Linked DNA regions of Astyanax mexicanus. The protein of the gene in region 4 purifies or fractionates together with the protein of the main gene of each other region. This does not show direct contact. Links are inferred from orthologs where the notes say so. Each region holds a gene or a part of one and is shown on either strand. Other genes may lie near its edges.

Evidence for each region.
Region 1: the proteins of med21 (region 4) and polr2d purify together in Homo sapiens (affinity purification with mass spectrometry; 4 studies listed by BioGRID and IntAct, with this or other methods). This does not show direct contact. The link is inferred for Astyanax mexicanus from reciprocal best matches to the Homo sapiens genes MED21 and POLR2D.
Region 2: the proteins of med21 (region 4) and polr2m purify together in Homo sapiens (affinity purification with mass spectrometry; 3 studies listed by BioGRID and IntAct, with this or other methods). This does not show direct contact. The link is inferred for Astyanax mexicanus from reciprocal best matches to the Homo sapiens genes MED21 and POLR2M.
Region 3: the proteins of med21 (region 4) and cdk8 purify together in Homo sapiens (affinity purification with mass spectrometry; 14 studies listed by BioGRID and IntAct, counting the BioPlex papers as one, with this or other methods). This does not show direct contact. The link is inferred for Astyanax mexicanus from reciprocal best matches to the Homo sapiens genes MED21 and CDK8.

What each region holds. Positions count from the first base shown.
Region 1 is NC_064415.1:11,612,420-11,620,796, reverse strand, and holds polr2d (DNA-directed RNA polymerase II subunit RPB4), read right to left. Parts: upstream 3,788-8,377; 5' UTR 3,549-3,787; coding exon 3,473-3,548; intron 2,607-3,472; coding exon 2,426-2,606; intron 1,737-2,425; coding exon 1,641-1,736; intron 1,557-1,640; coding exon 1,478-1,556; 3' UTR 1,280-1,477; downstream 1-1,279. Other genes in the region: high affinity immunoglobulin gamma Fc receptor I-like, read right to left, coding at 5,953-6,081, 6,181-6,215, 7,119-7,766, 7,992-8,027. UniProt on the Homo sapiens protein: Core component of RNA polymerase II (Pol II), a DNA-dependent RNA polymerase which synthesizes mRNA precursors and many functional non-coding RNAs using the four ribonucleoside triphosphates as substrates.
Region 2 is NC_064430.1:31,677,340-31,685,944, forward strand, and holds the start of polr2m (protein GRINL1A), read right to left. Parts: upstream 3,603-8,605; 5' UTR 3,395-3,602; coding exon 3,306-3,394; intron 1,045-3,305; coding exon 574-1,044; intron 1-573. Other genes in the region: myzap (myocardial zonula adherens protein), read right to left, coding at 5,130-5,499.
Region 3 is NC_064408.1:96,296,998-96,304,732, reverse strand, and holds the start of cdk8 (cyclin-dependent kinase 8), read right to left. Parts: upstream 3,320-7,735; 5' UTR 2,991-3,319; coding exon 2,863-2,990; intron 1-2,862. Other genes in the region: E3 ubiquitin-protein ligase RNF6, read left to right, coding at 6,675-6,822, 7,286-7,405, 7,663-7,735.
Region 4 is NC_064409.1:37,875,168-37,883,266, forward strand, and holds the start of med21 (mediator of RNA polymerase II transcription subunit 21), read right to left. Parts: upstream 3,213-8,099; 5' UTR 3,150-3,212; coding exon 3,108-3,149; intron 922-3,107; coding exon 807-921; intron 673-806; coding exon 572-672; intron 6-571; coding exon 1-5. Other genes in the region: tm7sf3 (transmembrane 7 superfamily member 3), read left to right, coding at 3,466-3,574. UniProt on the Homo sapiens protein: Component of the Mediator complex, a coactivator involved in the regulated transcription of nearly all RNA polymerase II-dependent genes.

The DNA.
Region 1 (8,377 bases), on a different chromosome or scaffold from region 4:
ATATCAACTTAAGCTTTTTACTCAAAAGTGTAAAAGTACTGGGTTTAAAACTATATGTATATATCCAGTACCAGTCAAAAGCAATCAGCAGAGGATGATATATATATATATATATATATATATATATAGGAGGTGATTCAGTTGAGTTTTTTGTCTGAACTGAACAAACCATGCCCCAAAAATTAAGCTCCTTTATATCAAGGTAATGCTCGCATGTTTTATATAAAAAACTGATGATCCAAACTGCGCTTATTTGTTTTTTTATTTGCCAAGTGAAACCCAGAGCTTTATAACTGTTCACATACTTTTTAACAATGTCTTACTAGATTTAGGGAGTTAAGTTTGCATTTAATTTCTAAACGCCTGAAACATACAGATGGTAAAACTGAAAACCTGTTTTCGCAGAGAAGTCCTTCATAACTATTTAAGATATAAGATGTATAAGATGTACATTTAATACAGATAAATAATGTGAATATTTCAGTTATTCTTGTATGAGCAGTAATTAAGTTGAAACAATCTACTCCTTCATGAAAAAAAATATGAAATTAATATAAAAAATGTTAACTCTTTTTTTCTTAGAAGAAAATCATTATAACATTATGAAACCACACATTGTGTTTTTCCAATGAATTGATAACTTTTTATCACAATGGGGTGTAAAATACAGATGGTTAAACTATTACCAATTTTGTGGAAGGAGACTTATCTTGACAAACTATTTCTAACAAGAATAATCACCCATAAATTAAGCTGGTCTAGAATAGTAGATATTTTGTTATGATACATCATAGAAGGCCTTACCACCCACAGTGTACCCACAGCGCAGAGGGTAGTAATGATCAGGAAAAAAGGCATCTGGTTTTAACTGTCCTTGTAAACAGACAGAACACACATCCACATTTAATGAAGGAGACACCAGAAGCATATTCCACAGGTCAGTGCAGCATTCTTTAGCTTCCATATGACATGCCAAATTCATGGGACGGAAAACTGCATTCTGCCCTTGAGATGTGGCATATATTAACTTCTGTGAGGTATAGACTACTGTATTAGTGAAGACCTTGTCTGGGCTATGTCTAAACCTTCATGCTATTCAACGCTTATGTCTAAACCTTCATGCTATTCAACGCTTATTAATATGCTAATATTAGTCGGCATATTTGACATTAATATTGGACATGTTTTGACATAATATTAATCATGTTTTTAAAATTTTGTGATACAACCAAGAACTGATTCTATTTACTTTTCATTCGAAAAGGAATTCACCCAGACATTTAATTTTATGAAAACATTTATTTCTCAACTATGAAACACTGCGAACACAAAAAATGTATAATCCAGCAGAAGGAAAAGGGTGAAAAACATCTCAGCAAAGGAGAGTGTGGAGAATGCTCAGTCTGTAATAAAACAATACAATAATGTCCAGATGTACTGCATGGGTTATGGCCTTGAATATACAAAAAGATATGATTCAATACTGAAAGCTCCGTTTGGTCTGAATATCATCCAGAATCTGCTGCAACTCCTCGTCCTCAAATCGACCTTCCAAGCTAGAAGAGAGGGAGAGAGAATGTGTGAAAAGCCAGAAAGCTTCATTAAAACCTTAAACTGTGATGTTCTGAACTAGGACTCACCTTGGAATGAGTGCTTTTGCTTCTTCTGCTGCCTCTGGACACAGATTGGCTAAACTTGCCAATTCAAACTTATGTAGCTTCTTTTGTAGGAGTAAGCTGTAAAACAAGCACATAACAGGAATGTGAGTTAGATTTAAAGAAATAGGTGAAAAGCGCTGTGAGTGATGGAAACACCAGCAATTAGTAATTGTTTAACATGGCAACAGCTGAACTTGCAATATTTATTTTGTCCACATTTTTTATTTGAGATTAAATGTTAGGTTAATTTTCAATGTCTGCATAATTTCGATTTTTTTAAAAGCCAATTAAACCTTCACCCATCGCACAAAAAAAATGTTAAAGTCATGTATAACTAAAAGAATTACATTGTTTTCCTCCTTACCCCAAACAATTTTATTGACTGGTGACTAAACGTATATATATATATTTTTTTGTAGGTTTCATCAACGCTGTCACTTCTTTCAAGAATTATTGATGTCTTGCTTATCAAAAAAAAAAAAAAAAAGGATTGGTACAAATTATTTTTTTTTCACTTTCAGCATTTTGTCCAAATGACAAAATTACACTCTTTTCAATAAAATTTGCAGTGCTCTTTATGTACTGGAAACATTTACAATACACTATACCAACGTAACCTATTAGAATATGATTAAAAATATACACTTCATGCCCACCTTATAAGAAAGCTTATTTTGAATTATTGATAATTTACTGTTTAGTGACATTTTTTAGCAGCAGCTTAAACTTGCTTCAAACAGTGCCAGAACTAGCATACTGGTACCCACCTGCGCACGCTGGCGATCGTCTCGCGGTTCTTGAAGCGACTAAAGCGAGCCGTGTAGTTCAGGGTCTTCATGAAGACTTCAGAAAGCTCCTGCTCGTCCTCCGCGCTCTCGTTCTGCTGCTTTCGGTGCTCAAGAAGCATGTGAACCTCAGAGTTCAGGAGCGTCTCTGAATTTTCAAATTCTGCACAAAGGTGAAAAACAGGTTAAAAAGGTGAAAAACAGAAAAAACTCTGTCACCACCACTGCTTTCTGTCAGACCCACATAGCCATTACCAGGAGACAAAGTCATATAGGGTGGACAGATTGTTTCTCATGTCTCAGCGTCTTGAAGGAGTTCCTGGAGGTGCTGAACAATATGTACTGCCTTATTTATGTGTCCCTTAATTGTTTTCGTGTCTTAAATATTAATATACCATGTAAAACGTTAAATTAATTAAACAGAAATGAAGAAAAATATTAAATAACAAGCTGTGTATAAACTTATGGTAATGTATAGAAGGAAAAAGACCTATGATATTTTTAAGACCCCTTAAAAATTATGAGGTTTTTTTATTTTGCAAGTTTGAATACCTCTGGAATATAATGAATATAATGTAGAGGAGGATGGATGATTACAAGCCATCAGACTAAGCTAAACAGCTTGAATTTTTGCACCAGTAAAGGCGTAAAGTTATCCAAAAGCAGTGTGTAAGACTGGTGCAGGAGAACATGCCAAGATGCATGAAAGCTGTGATTAAAAACAGGGTTATTTCACCATATATTTAATATTTTAAACCTTATGAATATGAACTTGTTTTTTTTTCATTAATTAGGTTCTGAAAGCTCTACATCTTTTCTGTATTTCAGACATTTCTCATTTTCTGACAATATTTTTATTTGGAATTTGGGAGAAATGTTGTCCATAGTTTATAGAATAAAACAATGCTTATTTTACTCAAACATATAACGTTACCTATAAAAAGCAAAATCAGTATTAGAAACTGAAGTGGTCTCATATTTTTTTCCAGAACTGTATATAAATATATAAGTGTGTGTTTTATTTCAGACCTTTAGGGAAGAGCAGCTGAGACGCGTCCTCCTCCACATCCCCCACACTCGCTGCTCCCGCCGCTCCGCTCGCCATTACCGCTCGAGCACAGCGTCCAGAGGCGGAGAGGAGATAAGCACCCTGTGCCCGGGCTACACGCGGTGTGTAATAATGTGAGAGTGCACTAATTCCGCTTTAAAACACTTTACACTACAGCAACAAAGCAACACAGCTCGAGTACGGCGCCCGAACTCACCAGCACACACTCACACACCATCACAACCAACCTTTCCGCTTCCGATTCGGCTCCAGAGAAAACTTCAAATTAAAAGTCTTCCTCCTGCTTTCATAACGACAAAAAACGGAGACACATTTTTTGCCAAAGGTAACCAGGTTTTTAAACCATTTTAGACCCTGCGTCCATTACTATGGAAGCCCATTCCCGCCACCTAAAAAATAAAAATAATCCAGCATTTTTTTATTATTATTATTAAGTAAACTGCTATCTCAATATTTTAAGATACTATCTCAATATTTTGACTTAGTATCTCAAAATATTGACTTAGTATCTCAAAACATTGAGATAGTATCTCAAAATATTGAGATAGTATCTCAAAATATTGACTTAGTATCTCAAAATCTTGACTTAGTATCTCAAAATATTGAGATAGTATCTCAAAACATTGACTTAGTATCTCAGAATATTGAGATAGCAGTTTACTTAATAATAATAAAAAAAATGCTGGATTATTTTTATTTTTTAGGTGGTGGGAATGGGCTTCCATAATTACAATAGACATAATGAGACCTGAGAATATACCATGAACCAGCCAATAAAAAGTTTACAAGCCAAAAAAAAAAAAAAACACAGGTTAGCTCGGCGTTCTGTCGAGAAGTGCTACCCATGAAAATGTGCCTCTCAACATCAGTGCGCATGCGCGGAACCTTTTTTTTATTTATTATTTTTTTAAGGTAACTCTGTTCTTCTTGGGTGCATTAAACAACCGGAAACCCCTTGCCATTATTTATCAACTGTTTTATATTCAATAAATAGTTGATTTTTATGAACATTATTGTCTACTATGACCTAAATATCATCTATCAGCATTTTGTACTATTGAGATTCCCTCATTAAACATGATAGGAAGTAGACTGAAATATAGAAGGAGAAGCTAGGGGGAGTCCTGAGCATATATAACCGAGACCAGAAAACTTTCTTAACCTTTACTTTTCAAGCGAACACATCTTAACAACTGGAACAGTATGTTAGAACCATAAATTAAAAGTAGATTAAAATGCCACTGTTGTTTATAGTATTTTGTTGCAGATAATTTGCCTGCAATGACTGCTTGACGTCCGTGATTTATAAATGTCAGCAGGTGCTGAGAATCTTCTTTAATAAATATATTACAAAAAAAGAACAAAATAAGTAAGTATATGTATATTTTCAACTTTATTACCCCAATACCCCGTTAATATTTTAATTAACATAAACATAGTACAAAGTCAAAAGTCATCTAAATGTAGCCTTTAAACTGATGTAGTTTTAAATGGAACAATATATATATATATATATATATATATATATATATATATATATATATATATATATATATATGATTATTTTATTTATTTATTTATTTTTTCAAAACTAAAAAGCATAAATAATGGACACTTCAATTTTACCACTTATCAGAAAATGCCAGTTGTAAAATGTATCAAACAAATGCATAGGCTTTAAACAATTGAAAAAAGTATAACATTTAATAATTTATACCAAACGCCAAATGCTTAGAAAGGAAAAGAATGGAAGTGACAAACAATTTTTTTCTTCAGATTTTATTAAAAATATGTATGAAAATTATTTTATGAAATAAAAAGCATTCTATAGCTTTATTAAAAGGCATACTGTAATAAAAATACTTTCTGATTTTTTTTTTTATTTGAAGCTGTCACACTAAGTGCAATAACACAGTTCTCTGCTAAATGTTTTGTAAAGTCAGAGCTGCTAAAAGCTTCTTTAACTGTCCTGCAAAATAAAGCACTTCTCAGCGATACTTAACGTTATAAAGCACATGATTATAATTTTACTGTAAAATCTCCACATCTGACACTCAAAGAGTGTCTATCACTGCATGTGTTTTGTCCACCTCACCAGGCTTGGCTGTGAAATACACAATGAAGAAAACGGATCAATTAGTTATTAATCAAATGTTAGAAGAAAGAAATCTTGGTCTCAGTGCAACTAAAAGTGTAATTGTTATAAATGATTCTCATCTCGAGCTCTGTAGCATTTGACCCCCAGTATGATGGTCGCCAACAGATATGGAGACGCTGCCATTGAAAAACTGAGCAGATGGAGCACTGAGAATGGAGCTTCTGAAGCAGATGCACCTGATGATACTTAAACACACATAAAACCCCCTTTTCTTCACTGGAATGTGGTACAGAAATTATTGAAAGATTAATGTATTATGCATTTTGTATTGTAATGATTTGTTTACAGCAGCAAACCTCTGATGGAGATCCAGCTCTGTGGACACTTTCCTTTCTCTGGGATTTTACAGTGGTAGAGACCTTCATCTGACTTTGAGACAGTAGGGATGATCATCTCTTCTGTAGTCGAGGTCTGGAGTAATAAATCATCTTTATAGAAAAAAATTGTGAGATATGAGGACTTTGGGTTACGATATAAACAGCGAAGAGTCAGAGGATCTCCCTCAGTTACCGGATGAACAGGACTCTCCAAAATTACATCTCTATCTGCAGAAAAAAGAGAATATAGAACATACAATGATCAAAATACTTGATAAAACTACTTGACTTGATAATTGTAACTTCTAACAGTGACCAATATAAGATATACTTTCACAATTTTTAAACAATATTTACTCTTACATTTGATATTGTAATGAGGCACGGTGAGTTTATATGGTCCACAACTTGACCTTTTATTGGAGTTCTTTTTACAGACACGTTCACGAGGTACAGGCTACGCTAACACATACACAGGCTTCACAGTTCCTTTTTTTCTAGCTTCTTCTTGCTACTGATCTGACGTCACCTCAACAGTCCAATAAAAACTTAGTGTAGGTATGCCACTAAATTAGCTGACTTTTTTATTAAACAACTGTAACAATGCGGGACAGATATATTTACATAACCCTCATAATTTGATCTTAATAAAAATGTCTATCTGAATTTTTGTTCCACTGTTACTAAACTCCTGTTATTTAGTAGAGTGAGATTAGTGTAGACTCACTGTGCACTGTGATGGTGACAGGATTGCTGCTCCCTCCAGATTCAGACTCACACCAGTACACTCCAGTGTCGGTAATGGAGAGGGAGCTAAAGCTGCATGTAAATCCTGTAACTGATCCCCAGCCTGATGAACAGTCCTTCACATTCTCAACCAGTGTGTATCGTCTCACTCTCTATCCAGTAGAGTTACGCTGTTTCTCACAGATCAGTGAGAGAGAGTCAGAACTGAAATGTTGAGATCTGCTGGGACTGACGATCAGAGATACTGAAGGAGAAGAAACTGAAATGCAGAAAAATCTCAGTGTTTCCCATCATGCTGCTGAAGACGATCAAAACTAAGACCTGTATAACTGATCTGATAATTACATTAAACAATAGCATCTATACACATCTATATTTACTTACCGGTGATCAATAGATGCTGTATATTGCTGCTTTTTGTGTGAAAGGCTGGTTCTCCTCTCTCTGCACTGCACCAGAAAAGTCCTGTTTGACGAAGAGCAGCAGGGCTGATTGAGTAGGTTCCTCCAGTTCCTCTGCTGATCTCTGAGGTGTACCGCTGATAGAATTCATATTTGTACCAGTTGAAGTTCCAGCCTGTAGAAGAATTTCTGACCTCACAACTTAGAGTTACTGAGTCTCCTTCAGTCAGACAGTTCTGTGGAGACACACTCAGCACTATCTTGGCTGATTGGAAATATAAGGATATGTTATATATAATAAAAGCCCTGTTTAATGGAATCACCTGATGTTCCTCAAAAACACCACAAAACTCACCAGATACAGTAAGAGTAACAGCATCACTGATCTCTGATCTCTCAGAGTCTCTCCTCCTCTCTCCTCTGCAGGTGTATTCACCACTGTCAGACTCTGTTATATAGCTGATTTTATACTCCGGAGATGTGTTGGATGTGTGAACAGTGAGATTATTCTTATACCAGCTGAATGTCCACTCAGTGTCTCCTCCTCCCTGCACATCACACCTGACAGTGACCCTCTCTGCTCTGAACACATTATTATCAGGCTTTATGGACACCACAGCTTTTGGTCTCTCTGTAACAAAATGAATTAGTCACCAATGTTGCTTTAATTAGTAGTTTTTAAAGATGACCCAATTCAGATTCATTTTTTTGTGTATGTTTTTGTGAAGTAGAAGAAATAAGACAAAAATTCATCTTGTGTTTTAATATATTGCTGCATTTTAGGCCATGTTTCATAAATAATTATTATTGCATGTAAGCGTAAGAATACATGGATTCAAATGTTATGAAAATTCACCTTGGCTTTGTCCAGAGTGTATGAGTACAATCAACCCTAAAAAAGAGACAGAAATAAAGGAAATATGTGAATATGTGGTCCTTGGTCCTTTGACCCAGACTGTGGCACCGTTGGTGCTAGAGCTTAGATCGGGCCCAAAAAATCCGACCCGACCCAGCCCGAGCCCGTGCACGTTCTGCCCGAGCCCGAACCCCACCCGAACCATGAACTGTCATTATGAGCCCGAGCCCGTCCCGATCCGCGCCATAAACTGGCTGTTTTCGGGCTCATTGAATGAGCGAAATATAATCGGAATTATGTTAATTAACACTGTAACATAGCATAAAACTATTATTTAATTAAAATAATTTTTAAGAACAGCTACACACAGTCCTTCAAGTCAAACA
Region 2 (8,605 bases), on a different chromosome or scaffold from region 4:
CCATAACATGGATTAGAACATTACTTAAAAAGAGCTATTCACTGTATACCAACTGTACCTCAATTCAATTCAAGTAATTAACTCCTGATGAGTTCAGCGCAGCTGTTAACTGAAAGCCTGAATTCCAGGTGACTCATAAAACTGACTGAGATAATCCAGCCAAGATGTGCAAAACTGTCATCTAAACAAGAAGTGCTACTTTAAAGAAACTGACATATAAAACTTATTCCAGTTTGTTTAAGACTTTTTTGTTTCCTAAATAATTCCATATGTTTTTTTTTTTTTTTTCATTTTTTTAAACATTTTTAGTCTAAACATTTTTAATCTACAATGCAGAAAATGTTAAAATAAAATAAGTCACTGAATTTAAACTGTGTCCAAACGTTTGATTGGTACTGTATTTGAAAACACCAATTGCCTTTAATGGTGCAACATTTTTTTTTATTATTATAGTAAAAAAAAAATGCATTAAACTTTTAAAGTTACTGTTTTGGAGATTGTGATCACTGATGAAACAGTATCTAGCTAAAAGCTAAACTGTAAAAGTGAGAGAGAGAGAGGGTCTTTACTCACTGATTAGGTTTAAATCTGTGTTTTTGCTTATCTGCATCCGCTCTGTCCAACACTTCTATATAATGTGGTTTCTTCTGAGACTGTGTGGCACTGAAGACGTTTCTAGGTGGAGAGTTAATAACAGTGTCTCTCAGAGGACGATTCTTTTCCTCAGACAGATTGACCCGTCCAAGCGCCTCCACCAGATCTTCTGCACCGCCAGCAGGTGTGGACGCCTCCATGACGCCCTCTGTGTTTGGCTGATTCGTTCTGCCGGTTTCCAGCAAGTTTTCCTCCTCTTTAACAGTTTCTCGCTCAGCATTCCTGCGCTGAGCTAAAGCCTGCTGATACCGGACCTGAAATTCTGTTCCAATAGCGGATAGACTGGCCTGCTTCTCCTCCTCCTCTTCCAGAGCTTCCAGCGCCTGCCGCACCTTCTCCACAAAGTCTGTAATCTTCTTCCCCTTATCCGGAAGGGTCTGAACGAACCTCCTGTAGAAACCACACAAACACTATTAGTTCATTTGATAAAAACAGTGTAAAATCTCAAAATATGAACGCGTTTTTTATTAAAATTTAATTTATATCACACTTATGTTTAGCGAATACGTTAACCTTAGGTCAGGTTTACACTACATGATTTTAGCCCAGTTTTTCAGTCGCAGACAGTTTTTTGTTGATCGCAAAAACTCTGCTCAGAGGCAAATCAGGGATCTCTCGGTGCTCACACAGTTGTGTAGTATAAACTGCTGAAAGATGCTCGCTGAGGCGATGCCTGCCAAATATTTGGCACGTCAGATATCTGACCCAGTCGGTGACTGGGATTCAGAAGCAGCGGCCACATACTACCAATGGAATTACAGAGAAAGAGAGAACCACGGGTCCAAAACGCATTCCCTGCTTTACCAGAGCTGTTTATAAAGAGTCTGACCTCATACTGCCCCCACTTTTATATCAGTAAAAGAATGTTAAACTCTAGATGGAGCCCGCGAGTGAGTGCTATATAACTGGAGCTGAATGGAGCTAAGAGCTGAAAAAATTAAAAATAATAATGAACTACATGTTCATTATGTAATCATGTTGAAAGTTCTTGTGAAAAATGTGTTTGTGAAGAGCAGCCAGGTGAGTCAGCTATTTCCCACAGTGGGAAATGGTGTAATTTGTGACCCTTTCTTACATACGTTTAGCAAGTTTTCCTTTCCACCTTCAATGCAGCAGCAGTTATATAGTAAATTTTCATAAGAAATTTAAACCCTTTTTTAAAGGTCTTTTTGACCTGACATTGCGTTAAAGTGTCACAGCTGAGTGTATATTCACATTACATACACTATTGTATTATTAAATAACAATATTAATGAGATTAAAGTTAATCTCAGGTTAATTCTTCATGTAAACTAACATTTTTAATAATGGTAGGCTGTGTGTTACTTTTAAAATTACAACATTAGATCTCTAAATTTTTTAATATCGGAACAATATCTGGAAAATATGTTACATTTATATTAATATATGTTTCCTTTTATCCAATTAATAATCAATAAACCAAAATATTTCAAATGATTAAAAGATTAACAGAATATTAAACGAATCGTTAGTTATCCATAATTATTGAATCAATTGACAGGCCCCATAGAGCTCCCATAGAGCTCACATCCCAATTTATATGCTTTGCTTATATTTTATTTTGTGACTTGACATCATCACGATTAAAATCACCTGCCGGATTATTACTTATTATCAGCTGTAAAAGATACTACAGCTTGAGCTTGATAAGAGCTTCACTAAATAACAAACTCCAGCAGTCAGAGGGGATATACAGCACCAGTCAAAAGTTTGGACACACCTCTTCTTATTTTCTTTTATGATTTTTACATTGTAATTTTAGAATGGAAGACATACAATGAAGATATACAGGAACACATGCTGAATTATTCTGTAAATAAAAAGTGGTGAACAAAACAGAATCTGATTTATACTTTAGATTCTTCTAAGTGCCACATTTAACTTAAAGGACAGATCTGCTCACTCTTGGTATTTTAATTTCAGGAATAGTTTTGAATGAGTCTTGAAGGAGTTTCTGGAGGTGCTGAACAATAGCTGCTGCTTTTTCTTCACGCTGTGAAGCTCCAGCTCATCCCAATTAAATCACCTCAAATCATCATCTCAGTTCATCAGATTTAGATCAGGGGATTAATGTTGAGGAAAAACACTTATTTACTGTTTACTACATAACTCCCTTAATTGTTTTCAAGTCTTCAATATTAATCAGTTGTAAAGTTATGTAGAAGTAGAGTTATTATACGGTGAATAGCCTTATTTACGTAAAGTTCTAATCCATATTATGGCAAGAACTACTCAACTAAGTAAAGAAAAAAATACTTTCTTTTCAAGAACTTTGAAAGTATCGTCAAGTGCAGTCGAAAAGACCATCAAAAACGTTATGATTTAACTGGCTCTCATCAGGACCACCCCAGGAAAGGAAGATCAAGAGTTCCCTCTGTTGTACAGGATAAGGTAATCAGATTTACCAGCCTCATAAACCACAAGTTAACAGCTCCCCAGATAAGAGCTTCACAGAGTATTTTGGTTTGTTTAAAAACTTTTAAGTTACTACATGTTATGTGTTCCTTCCTAGTCTTGATTACTTCATTATTCATTTACAATGAAGGAAAATAATAAAAATAAAAGCACTGAATATAAGGTGTGTAAAGTGTTGACTGGTTCTGTGTATAAATATAATACAGAGTTCTGACTTGTTGAGGAGGATCTTCTCCTGTCTGCTGAGGATCTCCTGCAGCTCCTCTCTGCTGCGGCCGCTCAGCTCTCCCGCCAGGCCGGACATCTCCACCTCACCTCGCCTCACTGCGGCGGACTCAGCCTGAAACCTCCAGCGGCGGTAAGAATCATTGCAGAGCGCTGAATTCACCCGAATTAATCTAATAAATACAGAAAAACTCTATAATAAACTCTAATATTAAACTCTACAGTGAATCAGCTCAGAGCCTCACAGCTAACCCGCTCACAGCACCACCGCCACTACCTGACAGTGAAGCGTGCCACTGCTAATTCAAAATAAAAGTCCCAAACTAAACTACACTCTCTCTCCTGCTCTCTCCGAGAGAATAAATAAAACATACACACACACACACGTATATATATATTAAATAAAAGTAATGATAGTGGTATAATGTACCAATAATTTATGTAATATTAGTTTTGCTAGTAGTAATAAAACTAAAACAAAAAACCCTACTGTTTTCTTAAAAGTGTATATTAAAATAAAAGTCTCTCGCCAAACTACACGCTCACTCCTACTTTCTCTGATAATAAATAAAACACACTTAAAATCTTTTCCTAAAGAATTATTAAAGTTAAATAAAATTAAATATAAACTGCTATGTCTGCTGTGTCCTACAACTTACACACTTGCTTTCGTAATAGTGAAGCATTTTTATATATGGAAATTGTTCGAGAAAAAGGTTTTGGTTAAATTATTTACATCTATAAATATACATCAATAACTCAAACTCAAACCAAACAAAAAGGCAAAAGTTTAGACACTCCCTTTTACATTTAATGTGTTTTCTTTATTTTCTACACGTATATTTTATAGTGAAGCAATCAAAACTTAGCTTCTTCAAATTTCTTACAAATATTGAAGAATCTAAAGCATAAAACATAATTGGCTTGTTTAACACTTTGTTTTTGTTTGCTTCATAATTGCATATGCATTCTTTTAATATTAATCTACAATCTAGAAAATAATACAAATAAAAAATAAATATTAATGAGTGTGTGTCCAAACTATGATTAAAGACTTGTACTGTGTATCAATATGTAGAACATAACATATATTTAGTTTATTGGGTATCCCTTCCTACTATAAAGTTAGGTTTCTGATGTTCCGTTACCAGCTTCTGTCCTCCAGACGGCGCTGCAGTGGTTCTTTATGTGATCTATTGATGAAGATTCCTGCTCTTGTTTCCAGCAACAGAAGGTCAGAAGCTCTCACACTTTGTGCAGATAATCTCTTTATTAAAGTTGTACCCTTATAAACACACACAGTGGCAATGTGGAGGGATTTGGTCCTCGTCTCTTGCTTCTTTCTGGCAGTGAAAATGATCTGATGCCATTGGCACACTTCTAATAATCCAGCCAATTACTGACCATCACAGCGCTGTATTACACCCCACACCTCTGACTTACAGGGAGCCTGTTATAATATGAATACTACTACATTATACTACAAGATATTATTTATTATTTATTTGTGTAAGAAAGTAATTCAAAGCTGTAACCAGAACATTAGGAAACTGAAAATAAACGTATAAAACTGTAAAATACAGAGTAATACAGACTTTCCAAATTCCATACCATAAAGCCAAATATACATATTTGTAAACAAAATAACAAAAAAGAAAAAGTGCATCCACACATGCTACTAAAATAAAATTTATAAAAGTTATTCACAGATCAGGATATAATTTAATTTATGTTACAAAATGAAAAGGAAAAATATATACAAATACATATTTACTGTCTGATTCAGGGCACTGCACCCTTCACTTCACTTTAGCTTATTCTACATTCAGTTTAGCTGTGATCTCCATTAGCCTCATAAACGGCGTGTAGATCTTGGATGGGTTGGATGTGGCCCGGCTCTTGCTGGAGGAGGAGGACAGTTCTGACTCTGGGGAGGATGAGGAGGAGGATGATGATGATGATAATAAGGTCACTCCCTCATCACTGGGCCGGGCTGAATCTGAATGTGTGGTGTTTTCTGTAGGACTAGTAGCAGTGTCCCGAGTGTATGGCCCCGTGAGCATGCTGCTGTACTGTAGCGGTGTGTATCGCAGTAAACTGTAGTCCAGTCTGCTCGGGGGTCTCGGCGCTGACGGGGCGGGCCTGGACTGGACCGGAGTCTCAGAGGCCTGAGCGTCAGGCCGGCTGGGAAAAGCAGAAAGAAATTAGAAGTGCTTGTGAAGCTTTTTGTAAAGCTGTGTGATTATATAATTTAATGTATTAACATATTCATGCTCCACCCACAAATGTATGGTTAAATAGATTCATGTTTGTCTTTCTGCTCCAGAGAATTCTATTCTAATGTAAAAATGACTGTGTAAGCAATGGAACACAATTTAAAATATTTAATGTATTTATTAGAAAATACACTGATAGAAAATATTTTACCCCGTATTATAATAATTATATCTGATATGTAAATGGCTGTAGCTGTAATCTGATTATATACTAAGTCTTGCCACAAGATTAAATTGCATTAAAGTGCTTCTTACACTGCCCTATAAAAGGCTACTTTTGGATAGTGTACCTCTTGATGAGAGATTGTTGACTGCTATGCATGTGTTTATGATGCTCTCCAAGACAAGTTTTGAAGGTTAACAATTTAGTATTAACTAGCTGAAGGGGTTGAAAGAATGAGAAACTGTTGGACGCTCTGTTTTATGTTAAAGCTATTCCAAAGCACCTGTGTTGTGTTTTTAAATCAGGTGTTTGTTTGTCGACTGCACAACTGCATGTCTGCATTAAGCTACAATTTGTAAATAATAGAAATAAGGAATAATTATTACTGATCATCTGTCCAAACTTTTGACAACTTTTTAACTTTTATATATATATATATATATATATATATATATACACAAAAAATTAAATATTAAAAATACTAAACTCTGTTTAATGTTAAAGCTACAGTTGTGTTAAAAAATATTCAACCCCCACTGCAGTAGTGTTTTAGCAAGTTTAACATTTATTTTTTATCTTGTTCACAATCAGATCAAATATATCAAATATACTTATATAATAGACAAATGCAACTTAAATTACAACAGTATTTTTTTCTAATATTCCAACAAATGTCCTTTTTGTGACTTATTGTCAAAATTATTCAGCTCCTTTAGTCAGATTCAACATTAGTACTTAGTATAACTCTCTTTTGGCGGTAATAACGTCCTTCAGATGTGAAACATAGTTTGACACAAGTTTTTTGCAGTGATCTACAGGTATCCTAGCCCATTCCTCACGAGGAAAGGCCTCCAGTTCCTTTGACATTCTTGGGCAGAGGTTTTCTAAAGGATTTTAGTTGGGCGATTGCAATGGTCACTCCAGAATCCCCCAGCCCTTCTTCTACAAACAAGCAGTTCTGGCACGGGGGCCTTCCTCTCGTAGTGTGTGCCTTACGGTCTAGGCCAAAACCTGAGTACCTTCCTCTGATGTCCTGTCGCAGTTTCTCAGCTGTCAGCCAGGGGTTTTTCTCCACATTTCGTTTCAGGTACCAGAGAGCAGTTAAACTTGCAAAATATGCTTATAATTGTGTCTCTTCGTGTGTTTAATGTCTTTGCTCCCTTTTTATATCCATATCCTTGCTTATGATGAGCAATTCTCTAGATTTATTTGACCATTCCCTGGACTTCCTGATGCAATGACACCATTAACTGTCTAGATGGAGCTGAGTATCTTCTTTTAAAGTCATTTTAAATCTGTTTAAGTGCTGCTCGAAAAGTGCTGATTCTAATCACCTACCTTTCAATGCCTGATTGAAACTTCTGTTCTCAAAAAAGTGGTCATCTTTAAGAGGTTAAATAATTTTGTCAATGAGGAAATCACAAAAAGTACATTTATTCGTATATTAGAATTATTAGAATTATTAATTGGTATATTAGAAGTATATTTGTCTATTATTCAAGTCTTTATTTGATTGTGACCAAAGTAAAAAACACTTTATTGCAGTGAGGATGGAACAATTTTGAATACAACTGTACATAGAATTTGGACCGTGTATATAACACGTTTTGATCTTAATATTTTAACATGTGGCCTCAATATAATATATTGACTAAATAACTGATCTAAAACGTCTGATTAATCTTTTGTGAGTGGTTGTTTCTTTTATCTTTTTTATATGCTTAGGTTTTTATTCATTTAATTACTTATTTAATTATTTGTATGTATTAGAACTGTTTGTTGGTCCTATTAAGACCACATGATAGTTTAGTTTAAGGAACAAGATAATATATTGAGGACAGAATAATATTTGGAGGCCACAAGACAATATATTGAGGTCACAATAAAATATGTTGAAGAGATATGATAAAATATTGGGGCCACTAGATAATATATCAAACATACAAAACAATACATTAAAGCTACTAGATAATATATTGAGGCTAGAAAATTATATATTAAGGGCAAAATATATTATATTGAGGCCACATGTTAAAATATTAAGATCAAAACTTGTTATATTAAGGCCACAAAATAATACATTGAGACCATTACATAATATACACTAAGGCCACAACTTAATATATTGAGGTCACAAGTTAATGTATAGAGACCATAACATAAGAAATTGAAGCTACATGATAATATATTATGGCTATAAGATATATTTTTTTAATAATATAATAAAGCAAAATAGTAGTACATTATGGCTAAGATGATATACCGAGGCCATAAAATAATACAATTAATAATATTTTTCTGTGCCTTCAATATATTATCTTGAGGCCACTAGAAATGTAATTTGTGATCTCAACCTATGATCTCATGGCCTAAAAATATTATTTAATGGTCTAATATGTTAAAATATATAAAGATTTTGTATTATCAACAATAACCAAATATATATATTAAAATATTGATATTTTGCTTTTTAATTAGGTTCAATGGGACATTTCCTCCAAATTCATTCCCAGTTTGTTTGTTGCAGCTCCTTAAATGGCCTAGAAACCAAGATAACATGATTATATGACAACAAACTTCATCAAGCACAAAAACATTTTGACCACCTCCTTATTTCTACATTTATTATGCATTTTTTGGCTCCACTGATCATATAGGACACTTCGTAGATCTATAATTAGAGACTGTAGTCCTGTATCTGTTTCTCTGCATTTTACTTTTATTTTTATCCTCTTTTTACCCTATTCTTTACTGCTGAATCAGATACAGCAGTGCTGCTGGAGTTCTTAAACACTGTGTTTAATCTCTCACTGTTCTCCACTCTATTACACACTCCTACCTACAGCTGAAA
Region 3 (7,735 bases), on a different chromosome or scaffold from region 4:
AATATTTTCAATAGTTCCATAAACACTATAAATGGGTCTAAAATACTCTATGTTTAGGTATTTAAAATAAATATTTCTCAAAAGCTCAAGGTCCCAAGTAAGGTTTTATATTAATTTAGTTAAAATATGTTATTCTTGAAGCCATTAGAGGCATTAAAGTTTTAAAATTAGCCAAAATTTCCAGCAGTTAAAAAAAAAACATACCTTCAAGCTACAACATTAATGTTTTAAAAATAATTGTTTATTTTTTATTTATTTTACTCGGATAAAAACACTCACACATTGAGGAATAGCAGCATGAACTCTCCAGGCAGGACAGAGCGTTTGGCTCCACAGAGCTGAAATTCCAGTGTGTTGGCTTGTCATGCTGGTTGCCAAGTGGCTAGCATTAGTGAGCTCTGCTAGGGTGCTTCTTCGGCGGAGCTGTTCTTTATGGCCCTCCGCAGCGCCTCTAGCGGTATGGCGGTATGTAAAAAAGGCATACTGGTTTTAATTTCCCCTACGGAAATACCATATAAACTGGTATACTGCCCAGCACTACTGCAGCCTAGACTGAAGAACATGGCAAAAATCTACAGAGTTGGGGTAAAAAAAAATAAAGGTGCATCCAGAGATTTCTGCTCTTGGATAACTTCTTCATCGGTCTTAGACTTTAATAAGCTTGGTGGAGCTATAGCAATCATAGTTAGAAAATGACTAGTGGTGCTAAATATTATAAATTCTTTAAGATATTAAACATAGTCCCAACCATATAACCCATGGGTTCTTCTAAACATCCACAAAGCATTACAAATCCCTTCCAACGAATAACCAAAGGTACTTTTCTCCCTTTTGAGATAAATCAGTAACTTTTAATTTTTAAGATTCTTATTTAATCTACATTTTCTCCAAATTTAGCTAGGCCCACCCATTCAGCTGCAAGGCAGCTTTATATTCCCCATCACAGGTAATGCCACAACGCAAGGAGGGTAAAAATAGCTCATGCCTCCTCTGACACGTGAAGTCAGCCGCCTCTTTTTCAAACTGCTGCTGATGTAGCATTACCGAGTAGCCAGCACACTCAGAGGAAAGTGCAGCAACTCAGTTCTGACACATTAACTCACAGACACCTTCTTCTGAAAATGGAAAATAAGAACAGTGCAAATTTTCCTTTTGAAAGGAAATGTGTGATATAACTTTCCTTATGTGACACTGCATATTCTTTATGCTACTCTCCACTGATCTAATTCACTTAGTCTTCATCACTTTGCACTATGCAATCTCTTATAGAGACATACTTAGCAAAAACACCTGCCACCTCCAATAAAAATCCAATTATGGAAAGTAAAAAGCATTGATATTGGAACATTTCTGTGAGAATCTGATTGCATTTAGCAAAAGGAGCATTAGTGAGATGTACAATCACTCCAGAGAGAACACAGTCCCAGTTCAGAAGAAATGTGGTGGAAATTACTGTATGTTTTTATTATTTTAATATATATACATATACTGAAAAAAGATTGAATGTCATTAAAACATGTAGCCCTAATAGATGTAAATGGAAGTGCACTGGATGAGTATCAACACCATCGGTTAACTTACACCACTCACACCAGTCTGCACATACAGAAAAGCTCGTTTTACAGGAGGGATAAATAGCTAGCGATGTGACACTACTGACATCCGACTGATTTTACTGCTTGTCAACACAGTTGAGACGAGATATCTATGTACCATTATGGCAGACGATGCAACACCAAATTTGGATTCCAAAGAGGCGTTTTATAGCGTTTTTTATTCAAAAAGAAAAGAAGAAGCTGTTCTCCATAAATGACAACAACACAGTCAAGTTACACCACTGTCACCAGACTACTTTCACTGCTAGTCTGAACACACAAGAGGCTCATTTTGCTGAGATATCTATGTGCCATGTTGGCAGACAACAAACTGCGATAAAAGGGTGTTTTATAGCTATCAAATTAAATCACATTTATTTATATAGTGCTTTTTACAACTGATATTTTCACAAAGCAGCTATACAGAAATGTGACCACATAACAGAAAATCTAGCAAAAGATTGAACATACACTACAGAACCCCCAGTGACAGATGAAGAAAAAATAAAGGGGTTACTCTTCATAAATTACAACAACAACACAGCCAAGTTAATGCTACTCCACTGAACCCAGACTGCTTTCACTGCTAGTCTTAACACATAGAGAAGCTTGTTTTTATTACAGAAGAGATATATAGTTATGTCATGAAGGCAGACTATGCCTAGGTAACACACAACACCAAATTTAGATTGTTTTGACGTTTTATAGCTATAGTTTTTTTCAACCATAGAGAAAATAAAAGGGCTGCTCTTCATAAATGACAACACAGCTAAGTTACCTAGCTACACCACGTACACCAGACTGCTTTCACTGCCAGTCTGAACACACAGAAAAGCTTTTTTTTTTATTACAGAAGATATATATATATATATATATATATATATATATATATATATATATATATATATATATATATATATATATGCCATGAATGCAGAGTATGCCTAGGTAACACACAACACCAAATTTTGATTGTGTGGCGTTTTTTTTCAGACAAACAGAAAATAAAGGGGCCGCTCTCCATAAATGACAACAACACAGCTAAGTTAGTTACCCAGCTACACCAGTGGCACCAGCCTGCCTTCACTCGCAGGTTTACTGCACTCTGTGTTTATTGTTTCTGCTGGTAAATCTAAAAGACACGGAACCGGTCGGTGTAGCAGCACAGCAGAGATGTCAGGGGCATTCTCTGATATTTTCAGACAGTCAGACAGCAGGGCTCACAGGCCTCACTCAGCTCGTTTTGTCACCGAGTGGTGAAACTCACCCGTCTTTCCTCTTGGCTTTGTACACATGACCGTACGTCCCTCGCCCCACTTTGCATCCCTCGTACTCGAACAGGTCCTCCACTCGCTCTCTCTCTCCGGTCAGCTTAACTTTGAAGTCATAGTCCATCGTCCCGGGCGGCTGTGGGCAGGTCGGGGTGTGTTTGTGAGTGTGTGTTTGTGTTTTTCTGATTGTTTTAAAGCGCCGCCAGGGAGGCAACTTACTTCCAGCGCCGCTCACACAATCAGTTGCCTTCCCTCGCGTCGCTTCAGCTCAGCCGCCACATGTACCCCGGGCTGAGTGTGAGTGAGGAGGGGTAGCGTGTTTTTTTAACGTGTGCTGAGGTGAAGCACCACCATATGTGGCTCTGCCCCAAATAGTTCCTTTAGATTTTCTCTCGCAACCGGTATCTCACTCGGGAGAGCAGGCTCCGCTTACGGCAGTGTCGCAAAACCGTCGCTCGCCTGAAAACCCCCGAAATCCGACTCGTGTGAACCGGTTCCGTTGAACGGCTCTTTTTGACTCGTCTGTTGAACCGATTCATTTTACCCCCGTTGGAATGGAAGCTATTTTGCAGGGTCCACGCCAGAGATGACCATACCTATTGTCTTAAAGGAAGAGGGAGGATGAGCGTGTGTTTGTGGTGGGTTTGATGCTGCTGGTCTAAACATATTAGCAAATGATTCCAGTTAAAATGTGTTTAATTATAAAATAATTAAATTACACTATATATAAAATTACAAATGTAATAGGTTATTATATAAAATACTAATAAGTCATGTTGTGGCTGGGAGTCACACTTTGGGCAACCCTAATTATATATTTATATCAACGTATCCCATAAGAGCACAGACTCATTTTTGAATACTGATACCAAATTCAAACTAAAATCTGATTATTTCAGTGAGCAGCTAATTCATGTTTGTTTCTGATTGTGGGTACATGACTGTAAATATTTTAATGCTAAACTCCTGATGTAACACAACAACAATTTCATAAACTTCATAATATTTTAACATTTTTATTCTAGAATTTGTTTCAGATATAGTTATATAGAACATCAAATTATTAATTAAAGTATAAAGAAAAAATCAAGTGAAATAAACGAACAGAGATTCGCAGACTGTTCTGTAATGATGCTCTTAGGATGTTCAGTATATGTCACTTAGGGACTTCTGCATTCAAATGCAATGACTCTGCAAGAGAGGCTACGAGAACGAGGTAACCCGAATCGTGCGTTCGACTCTTTCGAACGGATGAGTTTAAATGAACCGACTCGGCAAACTGAATCGAACTTTTCATTACTAATGAAAAGACTGGGGCTTTGTGGAGGCACCACGTGGATGTTAACTCTTTACCAAACGAGTATTTGAAATTAAAAAAACGACTATTTTGCGTCTTAAACTTGCGTTCGCTACTTAAGCATTCGAGTGTAGTCTCTGTATAAAGCTACACTCCACGTCCTCTTCAACGATCTTCACTCAGAAAAAACAATGGCCTTTGTTTGGCACTGACACCAAGAGACACCCTGGTCCCAATCTCACACAGCTATGTGTTAGCTAAGATTTAGAAGGACAACATTATAGAAAAGGTGAAAGAAAAAACAACAAAGAAAGATGAGTAATTTTAGACAATATACATTTTATTGGAATATTATAAAAAATATTTGCTATAAAGTATGTTTGCACCAATTTCAGGCTTTAGCAGCAAATACATATGCGATGTGCCTGTCTACGCTTTAAAATACTTTAAAAATGTAGAGAAAATTACTGGCATTTCTAGTTATATTTCTAGTATATTTCCACTATACGAATGGAAAATATTTTACTGTGATTTTAAAGAACTAAAAATAAATCATAATAATAATACATATATGCATATATACACAGTGCAACAAAATATTTTTTCCCAGTTGGATATTGCAAATTTACAGTAATTCCAGAAATAACTGTGATCTAGTAATCTCAGTAAAAAATGTAAGGAAAATGGTATGATCCAATATATGTACAACAAAAACTCAAATTGCCAGTTGAATATTGCAGATGTACAGTGTTGTAATGTAACTACTTTTACTGTAATTGTACATAAATTCTAGTAATATAGAAGCAGTATGATACAGTAATAAATGTAAGGGAAACATTGTGATCCAGTAATCTTATAAATAAGTGTAAGGAAGACTATATAATACAATATATGTACAATAAAAGACCAATGTCTTTATAGTTGAAGAGCCCACTAAATATTAAAACTAGTAATGTCTTTCTTAAATAAATAATTGAAATAATTAAATGAAAAAAAAAATGTTTGGGGTGAGTGGGTGTGGGGTGAAGAAGAGGGGGTGCTTGTGAACAGGAACGTGTGTGCAGCGCGTCAGGTAGCCGGCCGGACGCGAGTGTGTGTGGCTCCGTTGGTCCCATCTTAGCTCTACATTGTAATCAGAGCGAAGAGGAAAAAGAGAGGACTCGTCCATATTATCGCTGCTGTTTCAGGTACTAGACTGGCGGGTTTATGTGTGTCTCCGCGGCTCTCTTTCGCTGAAAGCGGCCGGGTTGTTGTTGGTGTGTTTAGCTGTGTGTTCGTGGCGGGACCTGTCTGCTGTCTAATCGGTTGTCAAACCCGCTTTTTGGTTAGCTGTTGGTTATTAGCACGGCGGCTATCTGTCGACACCAGCAGAACCGGCTGCGCAGACAGAATGACAGCTCGCTGTTCGGCCTCGTCTGCGCATGTCGTACTATAACGTGGCCACGTGTTATTGCTGCATGTGAAGTGTGATTTTAATAACGTTTTAAAGAGAAGTCGGGGCTTCTTCATTGTGCCTCGGTTAGAAACGCTCACACGGTGCCCGACTTTTCTTAGTCACGTACCGCCTTCGGGCAGCTCTGATTGGGCATTCGAAGTGCCAGTCATCGCTATCGACTTGTTGATTGGCTGCTGCGCTGGCTACGTCAGCGTGTCGCTCTGCTTGCTTTACATTCTTCGCCTTGGCCTACTGTGTTAGGTTATATAGCTCCATAGTCAGAGACAGCAGAGGTGCTGGTGTAGAAAGGGCAGCGGTTTATTTACGTATATATTGTTAATTTTCGCGTTATTGTGTTACTGTCGTTAGGGTGGCCACATATTTAAAGCCTGTTACAAACAAGCTTTAAAGATGTGTTGTTTAGAGCAAATCCAGAGAGATTGGTATATGTTGGTATGCATTTATTTTATTTATTTAACTCATTTAACCTAGTGGTGCCATCCTTCAAGTGGTTGCTGTGTGAGATATTAAGGAGCTCTGTTGTCTTGTTAATTAATCAAGGTGTCACTTCATGTTTTCTGACAGCAGTGCGTGCGTTTAATGTGATTTTTGCTGTCTCATGTCTATGCTTCTAGCCTATTTTTTTTAGACCTGCTCTGCTCAGTGGTCCTGCAGGACAGTCAGCTTTTGTCTTTCATTTGTATTTTTTTATTTTAATCAGTCTAATTGATCTTATGAAAGTACTTTAAGCATACATAAACAGTTTGTTTTGCTATTAGGGTTGAAAAGCCTCTGAGCGAGTGTGCTTTGGGTCATCATTCTATGATTACCTTCTCTTCATTATTTAGAGATTAATATAGAGCTCTTTATGATCTTATCATCATAAATTTTTTTTTTATAATGGTCATTTTGCAGTTCACATACTGGCATTTGTAATCGCACCTTTAATGATGTTCATTTTTGTTATGGTCTTGAGGTCATTGTATCAGCAGCAATAAGCAGGTAAGTGCACATAGGCTTGCAGCTCTAATGTTGAACCCTTCTGTTTGTGGGACTGTTGAAAAACAGCGGTTTTCATGGTGATGGACCCTCCCGGCGGGCGAGATGAGCGTCGCCGTCAGGCTGAGCGTCTTCGGCGGGAGGAGGCATACTATCACTTCATCAACGAGCTGAGCGAGGAGGAGTATCGGCTGATGAGAGACAGCAACCTGCTGGGCACGCCTGGTAACCTCATTCACACACACACACACATTGGCACAGTATTTAAAATGTCTTGCTTGAGCACTCATTTAATGTAACTCATTATATCAGCAGTGTTAAAACCTTGCTTTATTTAGAAATGATGTCAAATGTAACCTGTATTTGTCGCTAAACAGCCATCCAGGCTTATTATTCACGACACAACTGCAAACAAAGGCGATAGTGGCTGGCTGACAAATGACTGTTTCTCTTAGTTCAGTAACTTTTAAAGACTGTGAACTTGCTAAATATGCCTCTACTATACACGAAAAGACATTTTTGTGTATAGTAGAGGCATATTTAGCAATCAACGATCTCACACCAAGAAGTACACTATTTTAAAGTAGCCTCTGAGAACCTTTTTATAGGGCCTCATCTGCCTGAGACATAATTTTAATTGATGCACAGGCAAAAATGTAGATTGTGCTTTTTATCTCCTTTACTCTAGGTGAGGTTACAGCTGAGGAGCTGAGGCAGCGTCTGGATGGAGCTAAGGAGCGCGTGTCTTCCCAGCCCCGCCCTGAAGCACACCTACAGAACAGTGAAACAGGACAGGAGGGCAGCAGTGGTGAGTTCAGAGGATTCAGGGAGGGCTGGAGCAGGGTTCAGAATGCATGTATTGGGTTTTGTGGCAGCACTGAAATAATTAGTGAAAAATAGGCCATGTTAAAAATGCTTTGGTAAATAACGCTTGATTTATGATAGAAATAATCATTACTTGCAGCACTTTTGAACTTTGGGCTTAAATCATTGATTGTTTCACTGATCTGGCCTAACAGCCCATTATTTAGGCCAAAAATATCCTCTTTTCTATTTTTATTTCAGGTGCTGCCGAGCCTGGGACAGAGAGTGCCAATGGTGACTCTCTTCTGGAGTGGTTGAACACATTCCGTCGCAC
Region 4 (8,099 bases):
GCAGCCTGGTCAAAAGGTAAGGAGGAAATAATACAAGAGAGTTTAGAAAAGGCATACATTTTTGTTCATATAATAGTTAAAAGAAAATAGCAAAACAATGGATTTGCCACTGAAATGGATTTCAGTTCAAGGTAGCTGCAAGGTGGTTGCTCTGGTGTAGCTAATGGGTTGATATGCTGTTGCTAAATGGCTGCTATTATATACCAGCTGGTTTACTCTAGTGTTGCTTTTGTGGTTGCTAAGGTATCCCAAGTGGCTGCCATTGCTTTGCTTTGACAAAGTGACTGTTACGATATTACAGGTGTTTGCATGACATTTCTTAGTGGTTGCTAAGGTGCTGCTAAGTAGTTGCTAGGCAGTTGTTATGATATCCCAGGTGCTTGTTAAAGTGTATCAGTTTATTGAGTGTCCTTTTACTACTCTAATTAACCCATTCTGCAAACCTGTTAACCAATTTTACAAATTACTTATCATAACTTTAAGCAAATTAACAAATACATTGTAAAATGTTTAACCAATAATCAGGTTTCCTAACAACTCTCAAAATCTCATGAGCATTCATAATACAAACCTGTAAAGCAGCGGTAGATTCTTCACTAGGCAGCGAATCGATCAACACATCAACATCTTTCGCTGTCCTTGCAATCAGGGCTGCAAAAAGCTGTGCATATTCTGTGGCAAAAAAGACACAGCGATTAGCCTGAAGCAGCATGGAACAAACAATCACATTGGTTTGAAAACATTAATAACTGCCTGTTAAGCTTTAATAAATGTGTCACTGTGAGATGATGAGAATTTGTTTGGACCTTCTGTGGGGTTTGATGGCTGGTCCTTGTTGATGGCTGTCTGAATGTTGCTGAAGGAAGCAGGTGGCGCACATTGCTGCAGAACTCCAATGGCATTGCAGAACTGATCAGCCAACTACATCACGCAAAATCAAGACAAACATAAAACTGAAATTTTACTGCATGTAGAACTCAAATAAAACCCCCCCAAAAAAATCACAATTTTTGTAAATCACTCTGACTTTTGGGTGTGGAGGAATCTGATCTGATAACATATAAACTCTTACATTAATATTGTTTTCTACCAGCTGCAAATCAAATGATATAGTTTATATTGAAACACTAACATGTATACTATTTTTAGCATATGTTATTGTAGTGTTTCTGATGAAGTGAGTAGAGTCACACATGGAACTGATGAGCTCTGTCTGGCTTTAGTTACTACTGAGCCTGGTGTGGTTCCACAGTAATGAAGTTGGTTTAATGAGAAGTCTGAAGAAAGGAGAAAGGTGGTCTGGGACACCAGACTTGACTGTTGAGACTTTTAATGGTGTTGCATGCTTTATTAGGCAGAACATTTATGAAGGTGATAACTAGAGCCTCTGAAGTAGTGGGTGATTAGAGTAAGTAATCTATTGTAATGTAATTCCGACTAGTAAGAACTGTAGTTTTGGACATCAATATTATTATTATTAATCTCAAATTATATTGCACATATACTACAAATATCCTAAATGCACTTCCACCAGTCAAAAGTACAACCCTCCTTGACACAATGTATACCCTCAGGCAACAAACCATTTTGTTGTTTTTTACACAATAGCATACTTTACCTTATTTACCTAATAGTTAGTTTTTTTTTGGAATGTTACAATGCATGTCTACTTCAAATACAATAATGTGTATGTGTGGGCCATAAATAAAAATATTTATGTGCAAGATATTCTTTTATTCTTCTTGTAAAGTTTCTAAAACAGTGTTTTTTCCGCTGCCTTCGGGCAACATTGTGTAATAAAGCAGTGGCTCTCATTTCCTGCTAAAATTGAGATAGAGAGCCAAAGAGGTGCTGATTAAACATTGTTAATACTCAATATTCATTTTACAAATATGTGTACATAAAGTCTTTCCTAGTCAGATAGTGAAAATATCTGAAGATAACATTAGTAATGTAGAAATCAATCAATGTTAAGCTACATATAACTAGTCAAAATGACACTGTGTCATTCTGGTAATATGACTAGTCAAAATATCTGTATAGATCAGTAGGTCTGATATCATTACTGGTAAACATGTCATTACTGATATTTTCACATTTTTTTAATGTACATGTTTTAAGATTAAAATCCTAATGTAATACAAATAATAGAACAACAATTTCAAAACTTATTTTTAACATTTTGTTGTAGCAATTACTAATCCTACGGAAGGTAAAACATTTAATCAAAGCAGTTGAATTGTTAAATTAACGGTTGAAACAAACCCGTAGAATTAAAAATACACTTTTAAAATGAGCTAGTTATATCTCCAGCACTCCTACATTCTCTAAACGAGGTCAGATGAATGAACTGTGCTGTAATTCTGTCAGGATGTTTAGTAGCTAACCTATGTGTCACTAAGGGACTTCATGAGATAAAATGACTGAGAAAGTGCTTTACTTGACACATCATTTAATGGGTCTGTGAGACGAGTCACCATGGGCTCTTTTGGGTTAACTAGTAAAACCTAACCCATCTAAACGAGCTAACCTATCTATCTATCTACATTGAGAAGGTCCTGAATTGTACCTTTTTTCTGGTAACTTAAGTACTGAGCTCGAGCTGTATCACTACTGTCATTTTATGCTAAACGACCTAACAGAAATTAGCTTAACGTCAGTTAGTGTAGCCTTGTAAGCTAGCGTAGTAGTTAATACAGTAGTAATACAGAAAACATTTAAAGATATTAGGTCTTGTTTCGGAGAGACTAGCTAAGTTATTAACTTAGTTAGATACCGCGAATATCTGTCATGCCAACAAGTCTGGATTTATCTAGCGGCGACCAAACGTGTCTAACATTAATGAACTAACTAACATGTATTATTGCATAGCCTATCTTTAACATGTCTAGTTGGCCGGCTAGTTACTCCTCTAGCCCATCATAGCTGTAGCGTTAGCTGTATCTGGCTAACGCTCGCCGCAGTTTCATTTCAGTCATGAGTAAAAGAACAGCAGCACCTCCCATTCCCCACAAACACACCAACTGAGAACTAGACCTGCTTTTTACCTCACACAGTGCGACATTCGTAAAGAATTAACAGTTTAAAACACATAATTTTGATCTTACTGAGTTGACTGCGTCCTGCAGCTGTGTTAGCCTGTCCGCCATCTTTTCTGGTTATCGCCCCCCGCCGGCCGGAGGGCTAACGTCGCGGGCGCGCTCACGTGACCGTGGGGGCGAGATGGTGAGAGCGTGAGCGTGAGTGTGAGAGAGTGTGAGTATGTACAGGAGAGAGAGAGAGAGCGCGGGCTGACAGTGTGAGAGAAGGAGAGAGGGAGCGAGCGGCGGCTGGTGGTGGTGGTGTGTAGATCATGCGCCAGGCCTGCTGCTGCTGCCGGAGGAGGCTCGGTGGAGGTCTGCTGCTGCTGCTGGCCGTGTCCGTTGTGTGTGTCGGGGATCCGTTCCTCGGCCCGAGGGGCAGAAGATGAGCTCTGTGATCGGGAGAAGAGCTGCTGGAGGAGGTGGAGGTGGTTTCTGCGGTTTACTGTTTGTCGTCCTTTCCTGTCTTCGGGTTCTGCAGGCGCAGGATGAGAGTAAGTTTCTCTTTCGGGCTCCTGAGCTCTGTTTACACACTTGACAATCCGCATAGGAACACAAACAGCAGCTGCGATTTCTGCTGAAGTTTCGGCTGAGACGCTTTAAACTGTTAATCTGAGTAAACTAAGATAACATAACCTGGCTGATCTGTGCAGAAACCGAATAGAACTAGCTAGAAGTGAACTAGATTATTTTAGCTGTCTGATTGTGTATACATGTAGGTTAATTCTGAAACGGACCTCTTGTGTATTATTCGAGATTTGTTGAATATATTTTGTATTTTATTTTTTTAGGACCACCTTAAATAGATCCACGAGTAACTACAGGCTGTAGCTCAGTTCACAGCGCCTGAGAGACAGAATGGGGGGACTGCTGCTCCATTTAAGGTGGACTGACACAGTCGAACATGGAGACACTTGGGGTTAGCTAACTGTTAGATAGCCAACTCTTGCCTTTTTCATGTATACTGTTAGCTAGCTATCTTGTAAAAGGCTTACTTTAAGACTGTCTCTCCCTTTCTCTCGTCTTGTATATTAATTTACTTTATTCTGACAGTAATTTGGCGGGATTTGTCTGTGAGCATTAACCCTCACGTGAGCGTGATCTAATGGTCAATAGTAATAGTTCAAAGCAGTGGTTAAACCATTTCAGTGTCCTTTCTATTAGGGTTGCGCGATAATATCAGAATTAAATAACTAAATTGGTATGGGCCAAAATGTCTTTTTTTTTATCACACTCATCTGACCATTTGGGTGATATTTCAAACCGTTTGACGTATTTATTGTATGTAAAAAAGGAACCAAGAAACCCTGGCCACACTAATATAATTGGCTGACATTGGCCATGCTACTTTAAAATCCATTAATGTTTAAAAAAGGGTTTAGAGCAGTGAGTCTAGGTGAGGACCAGTTAAGTAAATGTGAAAGCAGAAAATGTGAAAACAAATTAAATTGTATTGTTAGCATACAGCTGGTTGAAAAAAAAGCAAATAAATGTTACATTTGTTTCCAAAGTTATACTAGAGTGTATAGTCTTTCTCTCTGTTATAAATGTGTATATCGGTATCGGCAGAAACATAATGTCAGATATCGGCCTAGAATTCCGACGTGTGCATCCCTACTTTTTATTTTGATATTATTTGAGCCAAATTTGTCTTCTTTAGATGTGAGGTTTCTGCCATAAATTTTCTGTCCTGATAGTCTAACAAGAATAAGTTCTTGCTTCTTTACTTTATATTATATTATTGTTAAAAATATGAAACCACTGTAGATCATAAACTGTTCAGAAGAACTAAGTTATCTATATACATTTATGTGTTTTTTTTCTGGGTAGTTGAACAGTATTTATGTACTCCAAGGACAAAGGTATTGAAACTTACTACTGATTAACTGATTCTTCAAAAATCAACACACATTCTCAGCTCCCCATTTTATGCCAAATGTACTGAATTACTACTCTAGCCCACACCTGGCATTAGGCATGCCAGTAGGTTTATGTTTTTTCTGCTCCAGAGAGTCCTGTTCTATTGACAGTAATTCTCTGCAGGGACTAGAAAAGCTGTGTGTGTATTTGCACATTTGTGTCAGCAATGGAGACAACATAAAGTGGTTTACTGCAGTCACTGGAAGGCCTATAACTAGAGCTGGGCGATATGGGAAAAAATCTTATCACGATATAGTTTTCCATATCAGTCGATATCGATATGTATCACGATATAAATCAAATCACTTTGTGTCACACTTAAAGGTTTGTTTTTATTAGTGAGAGAATAAGGGAGTGATGGAAGTTTTATCACAATATTTTTTTCTGTATCTCCATAATTATTAGGGCTGGCCCGAATAGCATTTTTTGAGCTCCGGATATTTGGCAGTAATTGGTAGCGAATATTCCAATATTAGTTTAAAAAAAAAAACAAATTAATCATGAACGCGAGCCAGAACCCGAGCTTGAACGTCAGCCTGACTCAGGCGCTGCATGAACTCGGGCTTTTTTCCAATTTTTTCCAATTTTCCATGACTGAAAAAAAACTTGGGCTATAAGCTCAATATTAAATATTTCGTTTGTTTAGAAATTATTTTATATTCTTAAACCATGTTAAATTATATTAGATTAGTAGGGCTGGCCCGAATAGCGTTTTTTGAGCTCAGAATATTGGGCACTGATTGGCAGCCAATATTGGAATATTTGTTTTTAAAAAGACGGATTAAAAACTGATTAAAGTAAAACAAAAATTGCAACTCGGCCCCTTTAATTCACCACAAAGTTTTCCAAGACCCAGCCGGAAAAAAAAAGATTTCCCACCTTTTCCTCAGCTGGGTCGGGCTCAAAAAATGATTTGTGATAGGCTGTTTTTTGGTTTGTTTGTTTAAGCACTTAGGCTTTTGTACTGCTGCAGTGCAATATTTAGATTTTATATTCTGAAATTCGTTAGGTTTTATTTCTTTTAGCATTTTGAACTTTTTTTCCAATTTCAAATTTATTTTTTTCTGTTCGTTATGTTCTATCGGTCCTTGCGTTTTTTGTAGTTGAAGTTGAATTTAATATTGAAGTTCAATATTTCTAATTTATATTTTGAAATTCGTTAGATTATATTTATTATTGTATTTTGAGCTCACTTTAGTTGGTTATTTTCCAAATTCATATCTATTTTTCTGTTATTATTAAATGTTATTAGCTTATTAGCTTAGCTTGTCATTTAGCATACAGAACTTCTCACGGATTTTTAATGAATGTTGATTTATTAATTTAAAAGCTGTACCTTATTAAAAGTATTTTAAGCCAGACAGACACTGTGTGATTTTTTAATGAGTTTATCTGCACTTTTAAATGGTTTGTCCTGTAGGAAACGCACACGATTTGTATGCTGACACTGTTGTCTGACTGAGGAGCTGCTTTCCGTCAAATGCAGCCTGTAGGCAGGAAAAAATCCAGCCAGAACCGACCATATCATGAGCCAGTTTTAAAGCCAGTAATTTAGTAGAGCATTAAACTACAAATCTGAGATGTACCTGCTGTACTTCTTAATCTCTGCCCCCAAAACGGTCCATTAACTTGCTTGACAGACGCGTCAAATCCCCCGCGAGCACGCGCGGCGCACAGCGCACCGATTAATTCATGCGTTGAGCTTTAAACGCGCAGCTGAGCTGTAATTGGGGAAATATCACAAAAATCACAGTGTGATTTGTTACATTAAAAAAAAAGACCATTTTCTTCCGCCTAATCTGAGAGGAAAGCGGTGTTCTCGACCGGCCCGAGTTCATGCAGCGCCTGAGTCAGGCTGGCGTTCAAGCTCGGGTTCGGGCTCGCGTTCAGGCAGATAATCTAAATGATAAATGATTTTGTGTTTTTGCACTTGGGCCATAAGCTCAATATTAAAAAGTTCGTTTGTTTAGAAATTATTTTATATCCTTAAACCATGTTAAATTATATTAGATTAGAGGAAAGTCATTTAGACATCATTCTTAAGGTGTTTTTGTCCTGTTACCGCTCCGCAAAAAAACCTCTTCCTTTAATCCGCGCCCCACATACACATTTTTGCAGCACCTGCCCCGAGGTCCTAATATAAATTGAATTAATTACATTTAGTGCTTAAAATTTACTTAAAATTTATTTAAAACGTGCTGAACAGTGCGGCCGTTTATTCCCAAAGTGTGTCGGGCCATACTCCACTATTCTTTAGGGTTTTTTGTTGCATGCATGAGAATAACTATTACAATTTTCTTAACTATTTATTAATTTGCTCCAGCGTCTTCTGGATTGATTACACGTTGTGTTTTCGTTGTTTGCCGCGCCACTTAGACGGAAATGGAAATGAATGTTTATCGAATTCTATTGCACAGGCTTATCATCGTCATCGAGGGAAAAATTATCGCGAAACAAATCGATATCGTTATATCGCCCAGCACTACCTATAACTATCGCAACATATAGTGTATGTGTAGTTATGATATGATAGGTTTAATCTGTGCAGTTTGAAAATTTAAAACTGCATATTTAACTGTTTTAATCTGTAGCATTTGATGAGTTAAATCTATCTAGTTTGGACTGTTTTCATGTGTAAAGTTTAATGTTTGATGTTATATATATTTTTTTGGATGGTTTTAATCAGTGTAGCATACTAATGTGCCAAATCACTACTATTGACATATAATAAAAGAGTGATCTGGTTTACAGAGGTGCTAAAACCGTTGTATTGTTTTATTCCTTGTAGTTTCAGTAACTCAAACTGGGTAAGTGCTGTGACGTCACAGTCCATGAAAGAGTTGTATGAAGACTGGAATGTAGACTGGAATAATTTAAACCCTTAATCAGCAGCTTCACTGTGCTCTAGCTTCTAGACTTCTGTATATGTAGACTCCTCTGTTACTGACTAACAGGAAATCCCTCAGGGATGTCACACCTAGAAACCACAAGAGTCCTAAGCTTCATCTTTCATCTTACTGAGTGAAAGCTCTGCACCCGGAATTGTTTTTAATCCGACTGTTGCAAGAAACTGAAAACAGTGAAATTTAATTGTTCTGT